Linked DNA regions of Bombyx mori. The protein of the gene in region 1 interacts with the protein of each later gene in a pairwise test. Links are inferred from orthologs where the notes say so. Each region holds a gene or a part of one and is shown on either strand. Other genes may lie near its edges.

What was found.
Region 2: the proteins of follistatin-A (region 1) and thioredoxin-like protein interact in binary tests that used the Homo sapiens proteins (3 or more experiments, as listed by UniProt). The link is inferred for Bombyx mori from reciprocal best matches to the Homo sapiens genes FST and TXN.

The regions. Positions count from the first base shown.
Region 1 is NC_085125.1:5,660,537-5,670,437, reverse strand, and holds the end of follistatin-A, read left to right. Parts: intron 1-2,005; coding exon 2,006-2,218; intron 2,219-3,303; coding exon 3,304-3,525; intron 3,526-4,027; coding exon 4,028-4,101; 3' UTR 4,102-7,337; downstream 7,338-9,901. UniProt on the Homo sapiens protein: Multifunctional regulatory protein whose primary function is to antagonize members of the transforming growth factor beta (TGF-beta) superfamily including activin, myostatin, GDF11 or bone morphogenetic proteins (BMPs).
Region 2 is NC_085130.1:3,048,915-3,059,496, reverse strand, and holds the start of thioredoxin-like protein, read left to right. Parts: upstream 1-4,529; coding exon 4,530-4,700; intron 4,701-10,582. UniProt on the Homo sapiens protein: Participates in various redox reactions through the reversible oxidation of its active center dithiol to a disulfide and catalyzes dithiol-disulfide exchange reactions.

The DNA.
Region 1 (9,901 bases):
TATATTCTTTAACACCATCCGCTATTTTAAGACGTTCACATTATGTATTTGTGTTACGCGAATTTATATTTAGTGTCACTAGAATGCTTTAATTAACAAACCGGAGTTTGGTATTATTAAGATGGACGCGAACACGCTATAAACTCTAATGTAAGCTTAAATAGCAGTCATCCCACGCGACAACGGAGTGATACGACGATTTGCATTAAATTCTAATTGCAACACACACAGACGACGAAGCAATGATACTCTTATGTAAACTATTGCCTTGTCTATACTAATATTATAAAGAGGAAAGATTTGTTTGTTTTTTGTATTGAATAGGCTCCGAAACTACTGAACCGATTTGAAAAATTCTTTCACTGTTTGGAAGCTACACTATTCCCGAGTGACATTGGTTATAATCTTTTTTGAAAAAAATTAGGGATCCTTACTAAAACTCAAATAATGTAACCCAAGGTGTAACAAAATTTCCTAAAATATTCTTTACATCGCGTGCCCTGCGAAAACTATTGATGATAGAATAAAATAATGTACTACGACTTTGTAGAACACATTATTATTTACAAAAAGTGTCGCGACAGCATAATAATATATCTTACTATTATAGTTATGCCGCAATAAGTGTTCTTTTATTTAAAAAAATAAAATAACGTCAAATATCGTTAAAGACCCGAGCGGAGCCGGAGCGGTCCGCTTGTCTTAAATACATTCGGATACTGTTTTGAACAAAACGTTGTTTGGTGCCTAACCTTTAAAAATGGAATTATTGCGTTAAATTAACGGCCGTCTGGTGTAGTGGTAAGTGACATGGTCACTACACAAGGGGGTCGCGGGTTCAAATCCCGCCAAGGGAAAATATTTGTATAATAAATATAAATATATGTCTTTTCCAGGGTTATGGATGTATATTAAATATATGTATGTGTATAATAAAAATCTTACATTTATTTCCGTTATCTGGTAACCTGTAACACAAGCTCTGTACGAACTTAGCACGGGACCAGCTAACGTGGCGTGATTGTTAGGAAATATTTATTTATTTATTTATTTCAATAGGCATATTTAGTTAGCACACTTTGTGATTTTGATTGCTTGATTTAATTCATTCTCGTGTTCGAGTTCCGAACATGATAGATCCAAGTAATGGTTGGTAAGTTATAAAGCGGACACTCAATCGCTGTCTAGACTCTAGACCGGACTCAGGTCAGCGCTGGGCCATAAACCGCTATATGATACAATCGACCGAGAAAAGCTTTTGGATATTTACAGAGCTAGTTATATGTTAAGATAAACACCGTGGTTGTTTTGTTCCATTAGGCTCTGTGTTTCCGTTTTTACGACAAGACGTGTGAATGTCAAAGAAACACATCGGGTTTTTTTTTGTCAAGCTTCATATGTTCCACACTAGTCCATTTGCAAAATCTTTTTTTTGTACACAATATGGTCTTTAACTGTGAAGTTGTCGTTTTACAATATTAGTAAATTTGAAACTTAATTTATGTAGGTATTGCAGACAATAAATTCTAGATTGAAAAATGAATTTCATTTTAAAAATATAGAATTCTAATTTCAAATTATGTCATTTATTTGTTTATTGATTACGTACTGTTTTCTTTTTATAAAATTTGTAATCTTTTTCATCAATGTGGACAAAATAAAAATACGAGTAAGGATTTCCAGTTCGGCTGCGGAAGCAATGCCGCACAAACGGCTCACAACATTAATGACGTATACAAAGTGCAATACAAACGAAAGCACGACTCATTATTAGTTTGAAAGCTTCCGACAACGAAATTTTTATCTAAAAAATTAACCCCATAGTCGCGTGAAAACTAAAGTCAACAATGGCGATAGTGGAAACCGGCGATAAATACCCAATCTACAGCTGACGTAGCAGCAGCTTTTAACGTTAGCATCCAAACCGAAATTGGTTCATTGGCGATACATATTCGAATCCTAAAACCGTGTTTAAATTTTTTATTATACCAAAACATATTTTCAGACTCGTGCGATGGCGTTCGTTGCGGTGGAGGCAAGCGGTGCATTCAAGACGCAGAGTTTGGTGTTCATTGCGTACGATGTAGTACGTGCAATGTTGCGGGTTCGCTCGTTTGTGCGGTCGACGGCAAAACTTATGCGGGCACGTGCGCGCTTAGACGCGCCGCTTGTGAGCGTGGTCGCGCCTTGCCGCTGGCTTACAAAGGACGTTGCATAGGTTTGTAAATAATAATTCTAAATTTTTTTAATTATGGTATATCACAACATTACGCTAATTGTATATACGTATGTCTGTTTTAGACGACTTAATTTTTTTTTATAACATTAAATCATCATCAACGAAAACACAGCTATAAAAAAATATCGAGATCTGTTTACAACTAGGAATGTAAACTCATTACATACATAAATACCTAAATCGCGAAAGATTTGTTAAGATAAGACGCACTCTTTCTTATACTGATCTATAAAAAGATTTCCATGTCATTTTAGAAATAGATTTATTATTTTAATTTCATTGCCATTTACAAACAAAAAACATGATTTTAGAGTATTGACTTTTTACATTTAATATTGCATAAGAAATGTGACGTCCGTACTTGAAGTTGTGTTTTGTTGAGTTTGTGTTTTTTTTTTCCTACATATTCGCTGATTTAAGGTACGCGGCCTTGGCCTGCGCCGGATGCACCGCAAGCAACGGATTTTATTTTGCTTTGTATTTTTTGCTCATAAATGCCGGTGCATTCGGTGCGGGCGACGCGGACAGTGGCCGCAGCACTATGAGAAAACATACAAAGCAAAATAAAATCCGTTGCGTGTCGTGCGTGCGGTGCGTCCCATTCCCGATCCTGCGGACAGAATGGAAAGCAGTCGACGTCGCCCAAAACACGTCATTTCGGATCCTCCCGATCCACTAACGGTGTTTTTAGGTACCTCAAGTACCGGTCATCGTCCTCGTCGAACCCGTCGCATGCGACGAAGGGCTCGACGAGTAAATTAACCCACAGACACAGCCCACTGAGTTTCTCGCCAGATCTTCTCTGTGGGTCGCGTTTCCGATCCGGTGGTAGATTCTGCGAAGCACGGCTCTTGCTAGGGTTCGTGTTAGCAACGTCGTCAGGTTTGAGCCCCGTGAGCTCACCTACTAGTTAAGGTAACGCTGAAATAGCCTCTCAAGGCTATCGGCTTAGGCAGGAAAAAAAAGGTACGTCCGGCGCGGGCCTATGGACGCATGCCTTAAGGGGTTATCCCAGCTACGCCTGGACGGGAGTTTGTCTGATTGCATAGTTTGGTATGACGCAGCGAACGCGACGTGTTCGAGTGTGTCTTGTTCGAGGGGGCAGCGCTGCGTGTCGGGCGGCGCGAGCGGCGTGCGCTGCGTGTCGTGCGGCACGTGCGCCGGCGGCCGTCGCAAGCCGCTGTGCGGGTCCGACCGCCGCACCTACCCGTCCTGGTGCCGGCTGCAGCGGGCCACTTGCCGCGCTGGCCGGGTCGTGGACCCGCTGCATCGGGGACCTTGCAAAGGTGACTTTACCTACCAAAAAATTCATAACTCCATGTAGTTACCAGTTTTTTTACTCTCTCGATAGCGTAAAAGTGAACTCAAATTTGTTTGGAGTTGGAACAGCGCCACTGGCAACCAACTTAGCAAAACTCGCACCCACATACGCGTGTCAATGTATAACTTTTTCATCCCAACCAATGATGATGATAACACAAGATGAATAACATACACTCTCAAAAAATTCTAATAAAACCATTTTATCCGGTTAATCTTATCGTTTATCATATTCATTCCATTGTTTGAGACGATTCAAATACTTTACAGTTTTCGTGATCACACACAAATGACTGACTCGAATTAAATGAAATAATTAACCGTAAAAATAGTGTCGCGAAAACCAACAAAAAGCTAAGATACTAAAATTAAACAATTCATAATGATCGGTGTATTGATACTTTACTCAACAGTTTCCGGAAGATGTAACTGATATACTTCTATTAATTTTCATTAATTTTCTTTCAGAAGCCGTAAACGTAACGGACAATATGATGACTAATGCGAGAGGTTTAAGCGCACTGGACATGCACGTCCTATAGTCATAGACTCTTCTAGTTTTAGCGTACCAAGCTTCGTAGTCTATTCAATTTGCAAGTGAAACTGTATTCGGCACCTAAGCTCTATTGTAACATTAACTAACATCGTAAAATTGAACAATATTGATTATCTTTGTTTACAACGACATAGTAATATGCTTAGAGTCTAAGAACTAAGCGGCGGTATAGAGATACACAAGGAGAGTTTTTTTGAATCAGTGCAGCGAGATTATGCATACAGTCAAAACCGTTTACTGCGACATCGTTTAATACAACATGCCGGTTATAATAACCAAGAACAAAGGTCCCGGCTGAATGCCATATGACCGCCTTATTAAAAATATTGCTTTCTACGACATTGGTAATAACGACATACCTCATAAAACGACCACATTTAACTAATATTTCGGAGAATTAGATCTGTTAGAACGACCGGCTAAGCTGTATTGTAAACAATTTGAATAGGTATCCACATTTGTCTTCAATGGCTTTTAAAATCACGAAAGAAAACAATAGGATTTAGTTTAGTGTAGGGTCTTTTCTAATTCTTAGAAACAAAACACGTGCATGCGGTAGTCAAAGTCCGCTTCTTCATATTTCTTCAGTTAGTTTGTTACTTATCTATACACAAGACGCACCAAAACTTTGTGGAGTTATTCATGAAACTTTAAAAATGTCACAAAAAAAAAGAAAACAAATTAATATTGAAGAAAAATCGCGTATTATGTAAATATATTTTTCCAATAATACCCTATCGATTTGTTTGTACTTGCACGATACACATTAAACATCACCGGTTGTTACGACTATCGGTTTTTACGACTGAATATGAGCAATCCCTTCGATGTCGTTATAACAGATTTTGACTGTATTATGTTTCAAACAAATAATACCTCAGTTATTCAGACGATGATAAAAATTTCTCGTCAATGGGACGTTCAAAAGCCAAGCTGTCTTTTCAGTTGTAAAACTCTTTTACGCGGAAACTTTCGTTTACATTAGGTACGTAAAAATGTTGTTTTATTCTCGCTGTTATGTTTAATGTTTATTATATTGTACTTATTCGAAGAACTCTTCTAGTGTAAATAAGTCTTTATGCCGGAATTAAAACCTATTCGTCAAAAAGTACGTTGAATACATTAGTGTTTCATAGCGCCAGGTAGTCAGTCATCAAAGTGCCAGGTTATGTTGAATTTCCATAACAATGTAGTCAGTGTAGATTTTAGAAAAATCTGTCGAACCTGATGCACCTTTTCGATTTTTTATAGATAAATAATAATTATTATTATATTAGTTTTAATAACACTTACATTATTAAAATTTTGAGCACCAAATCGTACTTAATATTTAGTCAAAATATTAATTTTAGGTATGTACTGGTAGTTAGCACAATGTTTGGATATTAAATATTTCTAACTTAATGATTACACTGTTATTTCCATATTGTTGAAAGTCGCTGTACAAACGAAGCTCTTAATGATGAAATGATTGACACATTCATCGGACTGACATAAAATGTTCTTTTAAAATTTTTAACTTTTAGTTATTTAAGACTTACTTCACGAAATGCGGTTAAAGCTTATGCAATATTTATTAATAAGTTATGTGTATGATTTTAAGTGCAATAATTTTATAAAAAAAAAAGTGTGGAAATTATGACATATAACATGTTCTTGTTTTGTTTTTAGATTTTTTTTTATTATTAATTTTTTCCGTTTAAACTGGAACGCGTATTGCTTGTTTCGATTCGGTTTTGAACACGTTCAGAATGTTATAAAAATACGTTTTCAGTATTATGTCGAGATAAGATTTTAGGACTTTAATTTTCGAAACTTTTTTACATTGAAAATGAAGTGGTTTTTTTTTTGTAGGCTGTAAGTATAATAATAATTTATTGTTTATTTTTTAAATAATATTCAAAATGTCTCCAATTTTCATGGATGTGTGTATGTGTGTTAAACCGAGGAATTAATTTGTGAAAATGTATGCATTGGCGTTTTTTTTTTTTTCGTATGCTTAAAAGTGTAGAAGGCGAACGTCAAATGGAAAGATAGACTGCGTAAGAACGTGATGCCAAATTTAAGATTAGGAACAAAAACTTTTTTTTTTTGTTGAAGCATAATTTTCAAACCATGACATTTCGATTTATTTGGATAGGAGTCTTCTTTGGCTTCGAAATTTTATTTTTGTATATTTTTTTAGATAGGTAGCATATTTTAATATGTTACGACGGTCCATAGAGCAGTAAGCCACAAAACTAAATTAACAAATACGATCTTAATTGTGTACTTAAAACTTTCATCAACAGTGATAAATTTGTACATAGAAAAACGGTTCAATTTTAAAATCATTTCCATCAGTTGAAGCCCCATCGAACTTTTCAACTGTATCGAACAGCTTAAGAAAGATATTTGAGATATCATTGAAGCATATAACAGAACTAATCATTGTGAAAACATGTTAAAAGACATTACCTAAATCGAACGAAGCGACTTTAATTATTTTCACAAAAAAAATTGTTTAAACAACACTATTTAATAATTTCTCAATTTAATGTTAACGAAACACTCTAAAATCTAAAAATAGATATGAATGGTCCCAATGAAAAAAAGTAACAAAACAATATTCAAAGGGTTTTTTTTTAATATTCAAAACTATTTAATAATTAATATCGAATTTGGTACAACTAACCATTTGGTGTTCTACGGTTATTTAGGTATGCACGGTCTCATAATCAGCACGATTACTACTTCAACGCCTCATTAAATTAAAATTAGATTAAACATCGTCAGAATAGAAAATTAAAATGGAAATACATGTTAAAAATTTTAATGTCATTTATAAATTCTAAATTTACTAAAAAAATTCAAGTAAAATTTAATATTTTATTTTATTGTTCGTTTTTCATTCAAGATGTACAGTCGAATAACTCAAATATTATTTCGGAAGTTGGATTTCGTAATTGATAGCTGGTTTCTCTTAAGTATTTTCTCAGCTTCAGAATCAGGAGCTGTGTAAGGCATAGATTGTATAATAATTCTATAATATTGTAATAAATTGTTTAAAACCCGTTAACATAAGACTTAAAACTGTTTAATCTAAAATTGATATTGGAATAGTAAAATTCATTTATTCCTTTTTAATGTCTGGCTTTTTGACTAATAAATGTTGTAGACTTCTAGTAATCTAGATAACTTATAATATATTGCCCTGTTTCTTCATAAATATTTTACATTGAACTTGTACTTTTATTTCAGTCCTTCGAAAATCCTTTTTGTTTTGTATTGTGAATTTAATATAACAAACCAAATACCCAATCCTGGCCTGGCCCTCCCGACACCATTGCTAGTATCTCGTCACCAATTAAGCGCGGTAACTCCATTCCATCAAAATATTTGGCCAGCCCATACCGTGAGCTTCGAAGTCAAAGTACCTAGGCGTCATCCTCGACAGAGGGATGACATTCGGTCCCCAGATTAAATCAGTACTCTACAGAGCCGCGTTCCTTCTCGGTCGACTCTACCATGGGATAGAGAGGGCTGCAAGCGAAGTAAATTGTCCCTTCGTAACAAGGTGACACTCTACAAAACTTGTATACGTTCTGTCACGGCATGACCTACGCAAGTGTAGTATTCGCTCACGCGGCCCGTACTCACATTAACTCTGTACACACATCGCTGGCGGCCTCGCTCGGCCTGCACGCGCCTAGTCTCCTCTTGACTAGTTTAGTTTCTTCATTGGGCAATGATACTCGTGTGTTTGGAGTGAACATTTTTTTTCCTACCTAAGCTGATAGCCTTGAGAGGCTATTTCAGGGAAACCTTAACTAGTAGGTGAGCTCACGGGGCTCAAACCTGACGACGTTGCTAACACGAACCCTAGCAAGAGCCGTGCTTCGCAGAATCTACCACCGGATCGGAAACGCGACCCACTGAGAAGATCCGGCGAGAAACTCAGTGGGCTTTGTCTGTGGGTTAATTTACTCGTCGAGGCCTTCGTCGCAAGCGACGGGTTCGACGAGAACGATGACCGGTAAGGAGTGAACATGATGGAATTAGTTATTAAATATTATGACCGCGGTGCCGCGAGCGGCCTTGTGTCGCCGCTGGCAGCCGCGGGCAGTACCATCGACAAGACACACACGGCGCGCGGCTGTTCGCTTCACCGCGGGCGGGCGGCGGCTGTGTCGGAACCTTTTCAAGCGATACTGATCTTTTAAGTATATAGATAAAGTTTAAAATTGTTTCACACTGGAAGTGCTCGCCGCGACGCTGCCGGCCGCTGCCATTCCGGTGTGACTCGGCCCTTATTATTTTACACGCAGCGCGTTCAAGCATTCTTAATGACAAAAAAAGTGCACATGCAATAATAAACTTTACTATAATTACTCAGAACTCTGTTTCCCATGTGACAAAAATTTGGTCACCTCTACGAGCCGGTCTGTGTGAACGGACCTTTCCTCTCTCAGCAGGCAAGGTGTATTACGAATAAAAAACTTTATTTCTGATCATTTAATTCACAATCCATAAAGTACAAAATACAATTTACCTTCTTAAAGTCCAGTTTTTTAAAAGTAACTCACAAATAGGAATGTAGTGAACTGTTTTTCTCTATCAGACATTGGCCCTGATGGTTTTAACTAAATTGTTTCAAGCCAATAAAATAAAATTACGTTCCATAGACACTTCTAGTACGAATTTCAAAAATATAACTCGCCCCAATTTAGGGCATGTAGGATGTCAATATAAATACTTTAACTTAAAAATTCAATCTTGTTCACAGAAACGTTTTTTTTGTATATCTATCTGTTTATAATTAGTTAAACTATACTGAGAACTTAGAACTTTTATCTCAAGGTGTGTGGCGCATTTACGTCGTAGATGTCTATGGGTTCCAGTAACCACTTAACACCAGGTGGGCTGTGAGGTCGTCCACACATCTAGGCAATAATAAAAAAATAAAAAAGTGAAACAAATAAAGAATACAAACTGGAACTCGGAGATGGTCTGAACAGTTTATATAATAATAGAAATGATAAGTACATACACACAGACCTCAATTTTCATCAATAATGTTACTATGTCAAAGATTTTTTTGTTTACCGGCGCAGGTGGATTAGCCAGCTCATGGTATTGGTCTTCACAAGTCGTGAGGTCACAATGGTGTTTGAATGGCGGCTATCCTCCGCATCAGGCAAGACAGTGGGTTTCATTAAAAATAATAAAAATTCAACAATTTGTTTAAGATGTATGATCCCGCACATTTATCGTATACATGCTAACACAATTGACAAATAACATGATTCATTTCTTACATATTTTGTATTTAAATCGAATTTTGGGGTCACAATATATCCTTTCTTGACGCTCTGACAAACAAACTCTAAATCATGCATACATTAACATTTTAACAGTCTGCGCAAATTGAAATTCCTAAACAGAATAAACAATGACGGACAGTCGATTGGGAGGAATAGAGACTAGAGTTAGAATAGGGACAAATCTGGGATGTCACAATACTTTTGTTGAGTTGTTAGATTTAGCTTTGTTGAACTTTAGATTTAACTTTGTTGAACTGAAAATGACTTTTATTTAGTGTTTAAGAATATTAAATAGTTTAATTTAGTCATCAAAGTTGTTTAACTCATTAAAGATATTAAAAAGTTAATTACCTAAAGTTAGGTACTTACCTAACAACTAAATAGTGCCAGCCCTATCGAAAAATTCTATTTTCCCCATACTGTTATACGGTGAAGCTAGTTTTTTCAGTTTTTGTGTATATATTGTAATGAACTATGTATAAT
Region 2 (10,582 bases), on another chromosome or scaffold:
ATTATTATGTTACAAAAATCTTTGTGTTGGGAAAAGAGTGTATCTATCCAGCTCATTATAAAATAAAATTAAAGTTTGAAAAAATCTACACGTTTTTAATCATCATAGTTTTGAAATAATACTAAGACTATAATATCCAGATAATATCATTGTGATATTGTTTGGGTGTGTCTTACCTTACAACCCATCCTGTGGAACATAGTTTCATGGCCTCTACTTGAAAGCTTGAAAAGGACCGAAAGTGTTTTCTGGAGGCTCGACAAAGTATTGGTATGAAGAAAACTCTGTACATGTTTATAACGGATAAGAGCTCTTCCTTTAGAGAAATTGCTTTAGTCCCTGCAAAAACATCAGACCTACATGTTCATGGTAAATTGTGATACTGAAATCAAAGTACCTATATTGAACCTTTTTCAATGTCTTTATTGAAAACAGGTATGTTACTTTATGATTTGTGAAAGCTGTGGTAGTGAATGATGCCATTTTATTGTAATATGGATCCGATGATTGTGGCTACCAGCTTTGAGAGGCAGACACGAAGTTCCTTGTGACTTGTTTGCCTACCTATTGTCAGTAACTTTGAGGGGTCATGCTAACTTCACCGAACGCGTAGGAGAGCATACTTTGGCTCAGCCTGGAAGACTTTGCTAACATCTGTCCTAGCAAAAGCAGAACTTCGCTGAATCTTCCACCGGATCGGAACCGCGGCTCACTGGAAGATCCGGCGAGATACTCAGTGAGGTTTTCTTGTGACCGAATTATTTGTCATCAAGCATAAATGTTAGGTGACGGACTGCTTATTTATGAAGATGTTTTTAAATACGATTCCAACATTTCGAAAACAATATGCTAATCTTCATTTACTGAGAAACACAATTATTATTTTCTCAGATCTATCACGGTGACAAGACAACCGAGCCAAGGGTATGATTCATTAATAAAAAAGAGCATGGCGTCATTTAAAACAAGAATTTAACATATTTTGTTTCGCTCCTGTCAAATGCATTAAAGTTGAAAAGAGACGGCGATATTAACATTGTCTCGTTCTGTTGAGGAAAATTCAAATTCAGAACGCTTCGAGCCGAGCTATTCTGATTCAGTAATAAGTTTGGCGCCAAATCGACTGTACGTTGTCACTTGCGTGTTTCTTATTTGCATTTTAAACTGTGATATTATTTTTAGTTTCAATTTATCTGGTGAGTGTTCAATATTATATTAAGTTTGTATCGGAGCTCGGGTGTCAATAAAAATAAGGTCTACGTCTTTTGGTCTTAAAATTATTTTATACCTTCGCTTCCAAATTCGAACAATTATTCACACACATTTTGGAGTATGTACATAGCAACCTCTAATTTATTGTGTTTCTAGCTACATAGAATTTTTCCGGCTTAAAATTGATTTTCAATGTCGAATTCGTAATGTAATATGTCTTTGGAGCATGAAATCTGTTTGAGAAATTGTATAGGAGTAGGAAAAAACTTAGATCCGTATGCAAACGGGATTCCAGAAGATTTTATGTGAACTAGACCGGTTCTGTCCTTTGATTAAAATGTACCTACCATTCGTAGCCGCAATATACGCGCCACGTGTAGTTTATCTGGGATGTAGGTACCTTGATTTTGAACCGTTTACAAAACTATAAGGTCGTAAAGGTTTTAAATTGAAAATTCTCGAGAAACAATACATAAGTACGCTCTCTCTCTCTCTCTCGCGTCTTTCACTATAAATTTGATCTCGACGCGGCCTATTGCTAATTGCATGTAAATCACGATGGTTTTTAGTGGGGACACTACAAGGATATGAACTAATTTAGACTATGAACTATCGATACTTCCTTATATATTATAAATGGGATGTGTGTTTCTCCTTTTTTTTGACGTCGAAACAAACTGATGGATTGTAGTTTTTTTTTAAATAACCGCATGTATTTAGGAGAATGACATTGGGTAACCTTTTATACCGAAAAAAATGTCAATATCACCGGAAACTACACTGATCCTTTTCCTTGACCACGCAGACGAAGCCGTGGGTAACAGCTAATGATATAGAATAGAATCATGATGATTTTCATTTGCTGTCTTGACCTATGAGGCGTGATATGGTTTCGCTCGAGTTACCACCAAACTAGGTACCTATTTATGTGACGTGAAAGCTGTGTTATTGTTATGCAATTGAGAACTTGATTTAATATCAAAGCTAGTTATATATTACGTAGTCTCGGTAACTACAATGTACATCAGATTAGATGAACCGTGAGATTTGTTTTTTTTGCAAAACTATAAAATAATTCAAAGAATCCAAATTCTAGCAATCTAAACTTTAGGGCTATCGCTTAGGTCTACTTTAGGCTCTAAAGCGAACGTCAAAGACCTGCGAGTATAATTAAATAAAAACATTATAGTTATTTTCTTTTCTTCCCGGCCTTTTCATCTTCGACCACAGAGCTCCAGACAAATGACGCGCCTCCTTAGGAACTTTGTAAAAGATTCAGGTTTTCCCCGCCCAAAAATGTTTTTATTTTTCTAGTCTAAATGCGTTGCTTTAAAGTTGCAAGTGTATATAAGTAAACTGGTCGCTAAAAGACCGGTTTTTTTATAAACCCCCAACTTTAGTGGCTCGGAGGCCTTTCCAGCTTCATCGGAAGGAGTGGGTGAACTCACAGGCTCTAGGCCTGTAAACTAAGCCTTTATTTGTCTCTCTTTAAGGTTTCAAATCTTTTGATCGTTCCAAAAGTTCCAGATATTTCTATAGTTTATAAGAGGCCCGTCCGCTAACTAATACCCACGTATCTGACATGGCGTATTGCACTCTGCAAGGTTTTCCATTTGTACTTATCGATCGCCGACGACCTTGTCAAACGTAACTAAGACCTATCGGACCGACACAAAGCTGGTTATTTGATACGGACATTATTTATTCAGAATATAACCGGTTTTTTTGTTGTGTTTACGTTCACACGGATAATGACTTTGGCAATAGAACGTATTGTTTAAGACGTCGAATTGGAATTTTGGTTAATGTCGTGATTGTGTATTAGTAAATACTAGAGGTCCCGCAGTAGTCGAAATTCGACTATAATTAATTGGAATTGTAAGTTTGTACACTATTATGATTGTATTTTATACTTCTATAATCACAAATTTCGCCAAGACTACACTATAAAAAATATTAACAAAGACAATGTTTAATCTATTCTCAATTTGACAACAGACGCCAAGAACAAAAGTTTGACAATAAATAGTATGCATGCGTGTGTGCGTCAAATACATGGTATGTAGTGTGTGTAATGTTTTCTTTATTGATTAAATGTATCTTTTATGCATTATTTTAAAAATATATTAGCATTGTGCATTTCTTCTCTATATTCTCTATAAGTGTGGGGAATTTCATACTCCTCCGTCCGCGCAATTTTCATAAAAAGGAATACAAAGTTTTTGCTTCACGTATTAATATATAGATATGGCTGCTATTTTATCGTAACATCTGAGCGAGCAGTTCTTATAGTGAAGACGAAAAGCCAAGTCAAACGAACGACCAGACTACAAAATGATTTAATAAATTAATAAACGTATAATTTTTAAAGCATATAGTTAATTTTACAATTAACCTAATATCTTAGTACTCTTTAGTGAATCCCTATTAGTTTTCTTCAGTGGACGAGTTCACGGACCACCTAGTTTTGAGTGATTATCCTGTAATACGTACTTTTATCCACTCACATATTTTCTCCGCGTGTCCTAACGTGCCTCATTTCCACTACAGTCATTGCTCCCATATACGTTAGTGAAAATGAAAAGTTTGAAGTATTCGAAACTTAAAAAACAATATCGAGGGGTGTATCGGGTGAGGGGGTGGTTGTAACCAAAAGATCCGTTTTATTTGGTATTAGTATCAAAAAGTTCGATGTTTTTTAATTGAACTTCAATTAAGCTTACTCCATTCAAATTGCTGAAGTTTTTTTTCGAAATGTTAAATTTTTAAATGGCTCGAAAGTTGCAAAAATGACGCGCTTATACCAAACTAGCGGCCCGTTCCGGCTCCGCTCGGGTCTTTGACAAAGATTTCGATGATATTTGACGTTGTTTTATTTTTTTAAATAAAAGCACACTTATTACGGCATAACTATAATAGTTAGACATATGCTGTCGCGACACTTTTTGTAAATAATAATGTGTTCTACAAAGTCGTAGTATATTATTTTTTTCTATCATCAATAGTTGTCGCAGGGCACGCGATGTAAAGAAAATTTTAGGTAATCTTTTTACTCCTTGGGTTACATTATTGGAGTTTTAGTAAGGATCCCTAATCAAAAAACATTATAGCTTATGTAACTCGGGATTAGTGTAGCTTCCAAACAGTGAAATAATTTTTCAAATCGCTTCAGTAGTTTCGGAGCCTATTCAACACAAACAAACAAATTTTTCCTCTTTATAATATTAGTATAGATAACCCCTTCACATCTCTATATGTAGTTTAAAAAGATCTCGGCTTAACTATATAGTTTTAACGTCGCTTGTCCACAGCCCAAGATGTCCATTCACATCAAAGATTCCGACGACCTGAAGACAAGGCTGGCGGAAGCAGGCGACAAGCTCGTCGTGATCGACTTCATGGCGACCTGGTGCGGACCGTGCAAGATGATCGGGCCTAAACTGGACGAGATCGCCGCCGAAATGTCAGATTCCATCGTCGTTGTGAAGGCGAGTCCTTTTTTTTTCTACCTATCTATTTGCTGGTAGCCTAAGGATCTTATTTCAGCTACGCGCGGACGGGCAGGTGAGCCTCACGGGCACAACTTGAGGAATTTGCTAACAGCCCTAATAAGAACAGTGCTTCGCTGAATCTACCACCGGATCGGAATCGCGACCCACTGATAAGTCGTCGTTTGAAGTCGTGGCCTAAAGGATAAGACGTCCGTACCAATTGTTCTAATGAAATACGTACTCAACAAATGTTCACGATTGACTTCCACGGTGAAGGAATAACATCGTGTAATAAAAATCAAACCCGCAAAATTATAATTTGAGTAATTACTGGTGGTAGGACCTCTTGTGAGTCCGCGCGGGTAGGTACCACCGCCCTGTCTATTTCTGCCGTGAAGCAGTCATGCGTTTCGGTTTGAAGGGTGGAGCAGCCGTTGTAACTATACTGAGACCTTAGAACTTATATCTCAAAGTGGGTGGCGCATTTACGTTGTAGATGTCTATGGGCTCCAGTAACCACTGAACACCAGGTGGGCTGTGAGCTCGTCCACCAATCTAAGCAATAAATTTTTTTTTGCTAAAAGCCCTAATTAGAGCAGTCCTTCGCTAAATCTACCACCGGATCGGAATCGCGACCCATTGAGAAGATCCGGCGAGAAACTCAGCGGCTCAGACTAAGCTAGACTAGATAATAGTATCTTTTTCATTCTAGAGCTCTTACCGAGGACTTGTAAATATTCTAGTTATCTTTATAACCATGCCCGAATCGTAAATTGAAATAAACGGGTGTTCATTAAAAATAAACCTTTTCTTCAAAACACTTGTATGTAAAGCAACGCGTCTTATATCTACATATCATTCTTAATATACTAAAGCCTACGTAATAGTTTATATGTTGTCATTGTGATAGCATTCACGCTATCTAACTCGGTAACAAATCTCAAAAACAATTATTATACGAAAGTTAAGATGATTTCTATTTCAATAATTTCAATAATATCTTGAACACAACTGACGACAACTGAGAAATTTGAAAGACCTCTAACTTAATCAAGTCTAAAAGGATTTACCTACAAATTCACCTCACTGGTGGTAGGACCTCTTGAGAGTCCGCGCGGGTAGGTACCACCTCCCCGCCTATTTCTGCCGTGAAGCAGTAATGCGTTTCGGTTTGAAGGGTGGGGCAGCCGTTGTAACTATACTTGAGACCTTAGAACTTATATCTCAAGGTGGGTGGCGCATTTACGTTGTGGATGTCTATGGGCTCCAGTAACCACTTAACATCAGATGGGCTGCGAGCTCGTCCACTCAACTAAGCAATAAAAATAATAATAATTGGATTGTCGAATTTAAAAATCTTCGTACAATACTTGTGTGCGATGCTGTCAATAATTTAAATCAAAATATTTTAAATCGGCAACTGCTTGCTTTGATATTACATAGTTTATATATATATAAAAATAAAATGTTTCTAAAAAAAAACCCAGCAATAAATGTTATCAGAATTGTAATGTTCACTTAAACGTTATCAATAATGCCGCGATAATTTAGTAAGATTGTAAATATAGTTTGGTTGTTATCACGAAAACGTCGATTGCACGCGACCGCATGAGAATCACTACAATATGTAACTTAAGAAATAAACTTATTTGTCGAAGTACATTCAATTAACATTATTAACAGTTTCGTATCTTTGAAAGTCGTCGTGGCCTAAAGGATAAGACGTCCGGTGCATTCGTATGTAGCGATGCACCGATGTTCGAATCCCGCAGGCGGGTACCAATTTTTCTAATGAAATACGTACTCAACAAATGTTCACGATTGACTTCCACGGTGAAGGAATAACATCGTGTAATAAAAATCAAACCCGCAAAATTATAATTTGCATAATCACTGGTGTTAGGACCTCTTGTGAGTCCGCACGGGTAGGTACCACCGCCCCGCCTATTTCTGCCGTGAAGCAGTAATGCGCTTCGGTTTGAAGGGTGGGGTAGCCGTTGTAACTATACTGAGACCTTATAATAATAATAATAAAATAAAAATAATAAAAATCATTTATTGCCTTTCACATCACAGAAAATAAAATGAAATACAAATAAAAGAAAAGAAAAAAAAGAGAAAAAGGCAAAAGGAGGTGGCTCAGCTATTGCTGTTCGAGGTTGATAAATCGAACAGCGCTGATTTTCAGTCACCCCCGTTTCCCCTTGGTTCTTTGCGGGAATGAAGGCTAATTACGTGTGTACATACTTAGAATATGGTATAAATTAGTAAAACTAGTAAATTATAAAAATTTAAGAAAAAAACAAAACAAAAATCAAATTAAATATTGAACCCGAATACATACATATATAACATAATAAGCACACAGTAACAACACCCCGTAGGCAGCCCACAACGAAACAACAAATAAAATAAAATAAAGCACGATAATACTATTACTAATACTGACAAGCAGCACAACATTTACACTTGTACATAAAAAATAAATAAAAATAACTTTAATAAAAGGAGGTTTTCAAAAGCAAGGATAAAACTAGTTCCTATAAATACTATAAATTAAATTAGTTTTTGTGAATCCAATAGAAATGATTTAGAACTTATATCTCAAGGTGGGTGGCGCATTTGCGTTGTAGATGTCTATGGGCTCCAGTAACCACCTAACACCAGGTGGGCTGTGAGCTCGTCGACCCATCTCAGCAATAAAAAAAAATATGTAGAAGTATGTAGAAATTAATCAGAATCTTTAGAAAAGTTTCTCGGGTTCTTCTAAAAAGACTATACTAGCAAATTCTCTCAGCGTTGAACTAACAAGTAATTTCATTTGACTTTTCCCCTAAAACATACGGCTTCGATCCTATATACATAATGTATACTAATATATATAATTCTACAGTGGTTTTTACGGATGTTCCGTTATAACTACTGAACCATGCATCCGATTGACTTGAAACTTGGTATCCATGTAGAAAATACATGTACTTAATGGATAGGCTAATATTTATATTAGTGTTGGACTCCCTGCACCAGTTGCGGGGGCGTTAATGATGAGAATTTTTGTGTTGGAGAGAAATAAATATTAAATGCCCAGCGAAGCGGACGGGTACAGCTGGTTACATAATAAATATGTCTTGCGAATGTACGCGACATACGTATGTTCTATAGCGTTTATTAAACTAATTAGTTTTTTATTAACTATTAACAAACTAACTCCTCCCACGTCATGCCCAAGACCCCTAGCTCCTGCTCCACCGAGCGACGCCAAGTTGTTCTGGGGCGGCCTCTCTTCCTTTTGCCAGACACTTTCCAGGTCAGTGCTTTCTTTGATAGGTGGGTATCGGGCTTTCTCAAAGTGTGGGAGGAGTTAGAACAGACTGCCCAAGACCGATATAAATGGAAAAAATTTGATTCGAGCCCTACACCCCAGCAGAGGGTAATAGGAAAGAATGATGATGATGATTAACAAACTAACTACTAACACTACTACTACTAATAAACTAGTTAGTTTGGTGATTTGAGGTTTTTTTTTGGTACATTTCCTTCCTAATGTAAGGGGCCTATTTGCCTGCAGCAAAAGTATAGCTTTACAGTTGTAGTCCACTTTTTTGTGGCCCTAGACAACAAATCAATTCTAAACTGTCAAGATTTGTAGCCAGTTCAAAATGTTTAAAAAAAAACTTATTGTCTTAGCCTATATTTCGATTCGTTATGTATTTATAGCCGTTGTTCCGTTTGCCTGTTACAAATGAACGATATTTTTAATTTTCATAGAAAACGCTCTTAAGGCCACTGTTTTAACTCTCGTCACCGTGATATGCAAAATATTAAGACGAATTGAATGACAATCACGATAGATCAAGGTGTAATGAAATATTACGCAATAATAAGAAACACGATGGAAAGAAAAAAACACTTTTAAAATAGGTATTTACTGTTCGCTCAATTATACATCAAAATTGTGTTTTAAGTTTTGCTGATGATGATGATAATAATAATGCCAAAGTTTCCCGTAAAATCTCTTAATTTTTTTTTATCTGGCAGTTTTGATTAACAAATTTTTTTGTCCTGCTGTAGAAGTTTTTTTCCAAAATTTAAACTTTAAATGCCTCTTCTGTAAAGTTGCAAAAAGGACGCGCTTATACCAAAAAAGCTTTTCACCCCTCAATAGGTATATGTAGTTCAAAAAGATCTCGGCTTAACTAGTTTTAATATGGCTTGTCCACAGCCCAAACAAATCAAGAATACGGATATAATAAACTTGCTACACTAGTCTGGCCATCATAAGTGCGTTTGACCGCTTACCGTTCCTTCGGTCGATCAATAAAACCATTCCGTTTGCTTGCCTAAGGTCACAGGGTGACTCATAATTCTGACGAAATACCGTGGACCGCGCACTCCCAATAAACATGGAAGTAATGAGTTTCTAATTGCGGAAAATCAACTAAATATGGCTGTTGCTACGATGTGTTATATAAAATTAACTAGCGACCCGCCCTCGCTTCACTTCGGAAACTGTAATTTATTATTGATTTCTCCACTATTTAATGGATGTTATCATACATATAAACCTTCCTCTTTAATCACTCTATCTATTAAAAAAAACCGCATCAAAATCCGTTGCGTACTTTTAAAGATTTAAGCATACATAGGGCTATAGGGACAGAGAAAGCGACTTTGTTTTATACTATGTAGTGATGCCGTATCGTGTCCTTTTTCCCCTTACCTAATCGCCTGAAGCCGCGGGGGCTATTCCACCTACGCACGCTTTGGAAGGTGAGATCAGGGAATTCAAGTGCTTCGCTGAATCTACCGTCAGATTGGAACCGCGTAACTCGTTTTTTGGGCTCCTCAAATCCGAAGATATGAACGAGAATGGTTACGAATATCATGTCGATGATTATGCACAATCTGAACACAATAACTTAATTATCTAATCTAAAAATAAAGAGCAGACAGTCTGCGCCAATAAATAAAAAAAATGTAATCATAATCGTGTGTACAGCTCGACCAAGCTAAGTTTGCACCTCGCATCGATTACGTCACACTGCCGCTTAGGTATGGTCTGAAAAAAAGAATGGTCATTTTCAACGTACTTCAGACCAAGGAAGCTCTCATTTCACTTTTTACTGGTGGTAGGACCTCTTGTGAGTCCGCACGGGTAGACCACAACCCCGCTTATTTCTGCCGTGAAGCGGTAACGCGTTTCGGTTTGAAGGGCAGGACAGCCACTGTAACTACTTGAGACCTTAGAACTTATATCTCAAGGTGAGTCTCGTTTACGTTGTAGATGTCTATGGGCTACAGTAACCACTTAACACCAGGTGGGCTGTGAGCTCGTCCACCCTTCTAGGCAATAAAAGAAAAGCTCGTATGGAGTATAATTTTGTAGGATGATATCTTAGTGACACAATATGAGCACTTTAAAAAACTAATGGTCCCCCGGTAGTCGAAATTCGACTATAATTAATTGAAATTATAAGTTTGTACACTATTATGATTGTCAAAGACTTCTATAATCACAGATTTCGCCAAGACTACACTTTACACAAATATTAATAAAGACAAAAAATATTTAATCTAATCTCAATTTGACCACAGACTATAAGCAATAAGAAAAGCTTGACAATAAACAAATAGTATGCATGCGTGTGTGTCAAATACATGGTAGTGTTGTGTAATGTTTTTTTTTAAATTGATTTAATATATTATCTATGCATAATTTAAGAAAGAATATTAGCATTCTGCATTTCTTCTCTATATTCTCTATAAGTGTGGGAAATTTCATACTCCTAGGTCCGCGCAATTTTCATAAAAAGGTATACAAAGTTTTTGCTTCACTCATTAATCTATATATATAAAAATGAATTGCTGTTCGTTAGTCT